2 linked regions of the Xenopus tropicalis genome follow. The protein of the gene in region 1 purifies or fractionates together with the protein of each later gene. This does not show direct contact. Links are inferred from orthologs where the notes say so. Each region holds a gene or a part of one and is shown on either strand. Other genes may lie near its edges.

Region 1 (3,754 bases):
TAGAGCGACAACGACTCTGAATGGACACGTCTCTTATGGATCCTGTGGAAACAGAATGTTAAACCCTTACATAACTCAGGAAGCGCACCGGGGACTCAAGCCGCTCCGTCTTGGACATGGGCTGGGGAGATTGCTATGGAGCTCACCCATAGTAACTGTAATGAAGGTCCTGTTAACTTTCAACTTTAAATTAAAGTAACACTGACACGGGAAAACATGTTTGTTACAAACCCGTCAGTTAATAGAGCTTCTCCAGCAGAATCCTGCATTGTAATCTGTTTTTCCCATGGGGCTAGCCATATTCTTCATTTCCCAGGGTGCCACAGCCATGTGACCTGTGCTCTGATAAACTTCACTCACACTTTACTGCTGCGCTGCAAGTTGGAGTAATATCCCCCCTCCCCCACCCCTCCCCCCCAGCAGCCGATCAGCAGAACAATGGGAAGGGAGCAAGATAGCAGCTCCCAGTAGGTATCAGAATAGCACTCAATAGTAAGAAATCCAAGTCCGGCTTGGGACTCCTCCAGTTACATGGGAGTAGGAGAAACAATAGGTTAGCTGAAAGCAGTTCTAATGTGTAGCGCTGGCTGAAAGCTCAGACTCAGGCACACTTTACTGCTGCGCTGCAAGTTGGAGTGATATCCCCCCCCTCACCCCCAGCAGCCGATCAGCAGAACAATGGGAAGGGAGCAAGATAGCAGCTCCCAGTAGGTATCAGAATAGCACTCAATAGTAAGAAATCCAAGTCCGGCTTGGGACTCCTCCAGTTACATGGGAGTAGGAGAAACAATAGGTTAGCTGAAAGCAGTTCTAATGAGTAGCGCTGGCTGAAAGCTCAGACTCAGGCACAAGGCACTGAGATGGCGCCTACACACCAATATTACAGCTACAAATACATTTGTTGGTACAAGAATAAAAGGTTAAATGGCAGAGGGAATTATTTGCTGTGTAACAGTGTCATTTAGAGATACAAAGTGTCCCATAAATAACATGGCAGGGTCCCTTTGAAGGGGAAGTGGTGTAACGCACACACGGATACCCTATAGAAATGTGCACGTTTTATTGATATTCGCCTTTCTCATTTACCTCACGCTAGAGCAAAACAAACACCAAGCAGCCAAAAGGCGAATGTATAGAATCGGTTTATACCGATACAGACTGCAGAGGTTCAGTTTCACAGTCCCGCTATAACACTCCGCATTCTGCTCAATACTAGGGCTGTTACTGGGCGGCAGGAATATATATAGCGTTTACCAGTGGCCCCGCCCCTTTACTGGCGCTCACGTGACTAACAGCAGCTTCTGTGCCCGGCCTTACGTCATCAACACGCTGTGTCGCGGTCACTGTGACGCGGGATTATTTCCTTTTTCGCCCAGCTGTGCCCTGAGGAACATCTATCCCGGCAGTGCCCTCCAGCTCCGGGACCATGGCAATGCTGGCAGAGCGTAAGTGTGGCCCGGGGGCCTGCCATTAGCCTTGCACTCTGCCCCTTGCACTGCTGCAGCACCAAGTGTGTCAGTGGGGGGGCAGCCATGTGTCTTACACACCATGTGACTCTCTGTGTGGCTCCCCTGCTGCTGAACTACAACTCTTAGTAACACTGGGAATGCTGGGAGTTGTAGTTACTATGATTTCATTTCCCAGGGTGCCACAGCCATGTAACCTGTGCTCTGATAAACTTCAGTCTCACTTTACTGCTGCGCTGCAAGTTGGAGTGATATCCCCCCCACCAATGCTTTCTAACAGAAACAATCATTGTTGTGGCAACTTAAAGGGACCCTGCCATGATATTTATGGGGTACTTTTTATTTCTAAATGACACTGTTACACCGCAAATAATTCCCTCTGCCATTTAACCTTTTATTCTTAAACCAACAAATGTATTTGTAGCTGTAATATTGGTGTGTAGGCGCCATCTCAGTGCCTTGTGCCTGAGTCTGAGCTTTCAGCCAGCGCTACCCATTAGAACTGCCTTCAGCTAACCTATTGTTTCTCCTACTCCTATGTAACTGGAGGAGTCCCAAGCTGGACTTGGATTTCTTACTATTGAGTGCTATTCTGATACCTACTGGGAGCTGCTATTTTGCTCCCTTCCCATTGTTCTGCTGATCGGCTGCTGGGGGGGAGGGGGGGGGATATCACGCCAACTTGCAGCGCAGCAGTAAAGTGTGCCTGAGTCTGAGCTTTCAGCCAGCGCTACACATTAGAACTGCTTTCAGCTAACCTATTGTTTCTCCTACTCCCATGTAACTGGAGGAGTCCCAAGCCGGACTTGGATTTCTTACTATTGAGTGCTATTCTGATACCTACTGGGAGCTGCTATCTTGCTCCCTTCCCATTGTTCTGCTGATCGGCTGCTGGGGGTGAGGGGGGGGGATATCACTCCAACTTGCAGCGCAGCAGTAAAGTGTGCCTGAGTCTGAGCTTTCAGCCAGCGCTACACATTAGAACTGCTTTCAGCTAACCTATTGTTTCTCCTACTCCCATGTAACTGGAGGAGTCCAAAGCCGGACTTGGATTTCTTACTATTGAGTGCTATTCTGATACCTACTGGGAGCTGCTATCTTGCTCCCTTCCCATTGTTCTGCTGATCGGCTGCTGGGGGTGAGGGGGGGGGGGATATCACTCCAACTTGCAGCGCAGCAGTAAAGTGTGAGTGAAGTTTATCAGAGCACAGGTCACATGGCTGTGGCACCCTGGGAAATGAAGAATATGGCTAGCCCCATGGGAAAAACAGATTACAATGCAGGATTCTGCTGGAGAAGCTCTATTAACTGCTGGGTTTTGAAAAAAACATGTTTTCCCATAACAGTGTTACTTTAATGGCACATTTGGGGTATAACCTGCGCTGTTGCCTTTAGCCCGTAGGAAACAGAAATGGTCGGTAGACCCAAGAAACAGCGCCTGGAGTAAGGATGAGTCCAAATTTGGCCAGAAGATGCTGGAAAAGATGGGCTGGTCCAAAGGCAAGGTAGGTAGCTCTTTATACCGCCACAACTCGAGTCATCATGGTAACTTTATTAGCCATTTCTTTCACTCTGGGGGAGGGGCAACTTTTTGGGGATATGGAAATGTAAAAGAAATAAACGCTAAACACTGAACTTCTCTGGGATGATTTAGGTCAATAAGGGGGGTGGAGCCCTGGTCACAGTATAAACGCCCCCTATGTTAAAGGGGTGGTTCACCTTTAACTTAACTAAACTTTTATTATGTTATAGAATGGCCTATTCCTAGCAGCTTTGCAGTTGGTCTTCATTATTTTTTTTATCATTTTTGAATGATTTACTTTCTACTTCTACATCTTTCCAGCTTTCAAATGGGGGTCACTGACCCCGACAGATAAAAACGATTGCTCTGTGAGCTTACAATTTTATAATTTGGTTTTTTTTCTTTCTATTCAGTCCCTCTCCTATTAATATTCCAATCTCTTGTTTAAGCCACTGCCTGGTTGCTAAGGTAAACAAAACCCTAGCTACTAGATAGCAGCTGATATTCCAAATGGCAAGGCTGCTGAACAAAAAGTTAACTGAGAAACCAGAAATAATAAATGAAGACCGATTGCAAATTGTCTCTCATTATCACTGTGTACATCATATTAAGAGTTAATTTAAAGATGAACAACCACTTTAAAGTTTGTCTCTTTTTTTCTCTTATAGGGGCTGGGAGCTAAGGAACAAGGGAGCACAGACCACATCAAGGTGCAAGTAAAGAACAACACTCTGGGACTCGGAGCCTCTATCAACTATGAGGTAAT
Region 2 (3,654 bases), on another chromosome or scaffold:
TATTTGGTGATTGCGAATATTAATATGTCTCTGCTATTTTCTACAGGTAAATAGTTTAAGGACAGTTTTCATCAATACTTATAAGATATTCTTACTTCAAGCTTACAGGTTAGTGTGCTAATTTATTGCTATTAAGTTAATTTATAAAATGCTGTCATATAAATTATATGGGTATGGGATCTGTAGAATGCTTAGTAAGGGAAGGCCATCTCCCATTGACTCCACATTAAGCCTAATTAATCTAATGGGAAAATTAGGTATAACTCATCTTCCGTTATTGCTGCAATTTGTGTTGTGCCAAAATGAATGCAGCTGCTGTGTTTACTAAGGAGTGATGCTTCTCAGTGGCTGAAATAATAATGAAATGATTGGATGTCACGATCTACAGTAAGTTCAAATAATATATTTTCAATATCAGGCACATATTTCATAATCGCAAAATTTCTTTTTACTTTCTCATTGGTTGTATTGGTTGTATGTTTTTTTAGAGAGCTTCTCCAGCAGCATCCTGCATTGAAATCCTGGAAGATTTTTTTTATATTTAATTTTCACATGGGGCTAGCCTTATTCTTCATTTTTCAGGGTGCCACAGCCATGTGACCTGTACTCTGATAAACTTCAAGTCACACTTTACTGCTGTGCTGCAAGATGGAGTAATATCACCCCCCTCCCTGCAGCCAATCAGCAGAACAATGGGAAGTTAGCAAGGTAGCAGCTCCCAGTAGATATCAGAATAGCACTCAATAGTAAGAAATCCAAGTCCGGCCTGGAACTCCTCCAGTTACATGGTAGTAGGAGAAACAACAGGTTACCAGAAAGCAGTTCTAATGTGTAGCGCTGGCTCCTTCTGAAAGCTCAGACTCAGGCACAATGCACTGAGATGGCTGCCTACACACTACTACACACTACGCTCATTTTAAATTGGTGGAGTGAATTGTTTGCTAAACAGTGTAATTTAGAAATAAACAGTATACTGTAAAAATCATGACCGTATCCTTTTAATAAATTATTATGATAAGTTTGTTTTAGATACAGATGTGTTACATAGTAACATAGTAAGTTGGGTTGAAAAAAGACATACGTCCATGTTATGAAAGATCCTTTTCATTAATCCATACACAAAATCCAAAAATTCAAGTCACCTGTAGTAACCTATAGCAAACATCTTTTTGTTTGTTGTGGGTTATTGCACCTGGGCAAACTTTGTGCCTTTTACAATCAGAAGTTAGAATTCAAAAGAATGAATGCTGGGAATCTTGACATAATGCTGGTTTTGGTGTATTTTTTAAAAACATTGCCTATTTTTGTTTTTATTCAGATTCCATGCTTGTGTTGTTCAGCTTCCATTTGGCCAGCGTGTAATGAATAATCCACCTTTTTTTCTTACTGTGATTTCTGATATGGCACCTTGCTTTTACACTACTTTTAAGTCCAAAAACAAAGGTATGTATAAGTATAGGAAACTGTCACAAAAGGGCAGTAAAATTAAAATGGCTGCATCACTCCATTCTGACTCTGTGATCAGTAGCAGTTAAAAACTATAATCACCACATAGTGTCATTAAGCAAGAATCCTGAATAATGAAAGCTTTACATTTAAGATGGCACTGAACAAAGATTTTGAAAACTTCCAATGCTACACTTAACAGGGTTATACAATTAGAGACACAAATAAAAATTGTAAGAAAAGGTTCAACATCTGCTACTGGTCTAATCACATATAGCAATTATTCACAGGAAGCATTTACTATTTAAAAGCAGTAATCCTATAGTTTGCTATGGATTACTACACCTGGGTATCTGAGCAACGTAGTGCTTTTTATTACATATTGGGGTAAGTTTCCCAGATGCATTAACCCATAGCCAAAAATTAGCCTGGTAGATTTACTGGTCATTGGTTGCTAAGGGTTACTGTAAGCTCAAAGTGCAATGCTTTACAATGTAAAATACATCACAATAACATTGACACTGAAGCCCATTAGATGCCCTAAAGCATAGATTGTTTCTTACTGGTAGAAGGCTACAGGGTATGACAGGAATGTAAAAAATGACAGCTGCACAGCCATCTTATCTTATTGCCAGGCATCCACTAACATTTTGGTTAGCTAAAATATATTTGTCTGTATGAACTGTATAATAAAATTAAAATTACAATGCCTCATTTACGACCACACTTATGGATGCAGCCAACCATGTAAATACTTCTTTTTACATGTAATTTTTACAGCAGTAACCGTTGTGTTCTACCATTTACAGATGTCACACGTGGGTACAAGGATGTGAGCTGCCAGTTTAACTTTGAAGCAGTCCAGTGGCTCAGTTATCAAGCTTTTCTTACTAAGCTTCGCAATCACAAAATATTATACAAATGTCTTATTGGGCCACTGCATAACTGTGAGTGAATGATATGGTATTTAATTATCTTTTTCTAGGATTAATGGTTTCTGCTTTGTACCACCTATGCCTGATACCCCCTACTTAGCTATCCTTTAACTCCCTCTGTGTATGGATAAAATTTTAATTGTTGCTGTATGTAAGCATAGCATTGTAAAAGAGAAGAAGAACAGTCAGTCAGATTACTTTCCCTCATACATAATAATGGGCATAAAATTTGACAGTAACCTGTCTAGAGTTACATTCATCAAACTAGTAACCTATAGCAACCTGTTTGCTTTTAATAAATGCTCCCAATTAGTTTGCTATGGGTGACTAGATCTGTAGCGAACCTTTAAAGCAAAGAAGTGTGGAAATAAAAAACCAGGGTTAATAAGTCATGAGAAACAGACAAGAATAGCAAGCAATGGCGGGCAAGATGCAGCACAGCTGAAAAACAACAGATCCAAAAATTCTTTAAGGGAAAGAGTCAGTGATATCATTAATAATAAAATATTAGACAAGCAAACGCCAGGGTCTCTGGTCAATAACATAAGAAGTGTTTACTAAATTTGTGTGGGCCAAAACACCATGTGGTTTATTATAACTAGTAAGTTTGTCTGTCAGTGTCCTATAAAGCATACTGCCAGATAGCCAGAGGTCTGTCCCTTTGTTCCCCACCCCCTTTTTAAATGTAAGAAAACACCTCCTTTTTAAGTATTGACATTTTTATTTTGATAGTGTATCTTTACCTGTGTTTGCAGCTGGGTATGGTTTTCTTTTAAATACATTAAATGCATACAATACCCAGCAACTGCAAGTGTAATTTCAACTATAACTGTGGTACGATAATTATGTTGGGTTGAAAAACCTAACATACCGTTCTTCGACTTCAGCTTATTCTTCCGCTTTTTCTTATTATTCTTAGCGCCCCCCATTTTCTAAACACTGCTCCTCCTACAGTTTTAGGCGTACAACACCCAAACTCTCCACACTTCTTCACCCTATAGCGGAGCAGGTTGCTTGTGCTTTCTAACTGATCCCGCCTTTTTGTGACGCCGCTCCGAACACCCCAGTTTTCCCATTGACTTTGACAGGGAAGATTTTTAAACTGCTGCCACTCTTACAGCTTCGAAGCTACACTCCCCAAACTTGAATAACATAATAATGGGGTCACCCCGAATGAAACAGCGACATTTGTTGGATGATCCCAAAGTGGGAGGGGCCAACAACAGCAAATCAAATTTCACCCATTTACTTTTCTGTGGAAATTGAAACTGCT

Evidence for each region.
Region 2: the proteins of pinx1 (region 1) and tert purify together in Homo sapiens (co-immunoprecipitation; 3 studies listed by BioGRID and IntAct, with this or other methods). This does not show direct contact. The link is inferred for Xenopus tropicalis from reciprocal best matches to the Homo sapiens genes PINX1 and TERT.

The regions. Positions count from the first base shown.
Region 1 is NC_030681.2:151,067,333-151,071,086, forward strand, and holds the start of pinx1 (PIN2/TERF1-interacting telomerase inhibitor 1), read left to right. Parts: upstream 1-1,311; 5' UTR 1,312-1,426; coding exon 1,427-1,445; intron 1,446-2,861; coding exon 2,862-2,971; intron 2,972-3,656; coding exon 3,657-3,749; intron 3,750-3,754. UniProt on the Homo sapiens protein: Microtubule-binding protein essential for faithful chromosome segregation. Mediates TRF1 and TERT accumulation in nucleolus and enhances TRF1 binding to telomeres. Inhibits telomerase activity. May inhibit cell proliferation and act as tumor suppressor.
Region 2 is NC_030682.2:58,796,851-58,800,504, reverse strand, and holds part of tert (telomerase reverse transcriptase), read left to right. Parts: intron 1-46; coding exon 47-108; intron 109-1,318; coding exon 1,319-1,443; intron 1,444-2,255; coding exon 2,256-2,393; intron 2,394-3,654. UniProt on the Homo sapiens protein: Telomerase is a ribonucleoprotein enzyme essential for the replication of chromosome termini in most eukaryotes. Active in progenitor and cancer cells. Inactive, or very low activity, in normal somatic cells.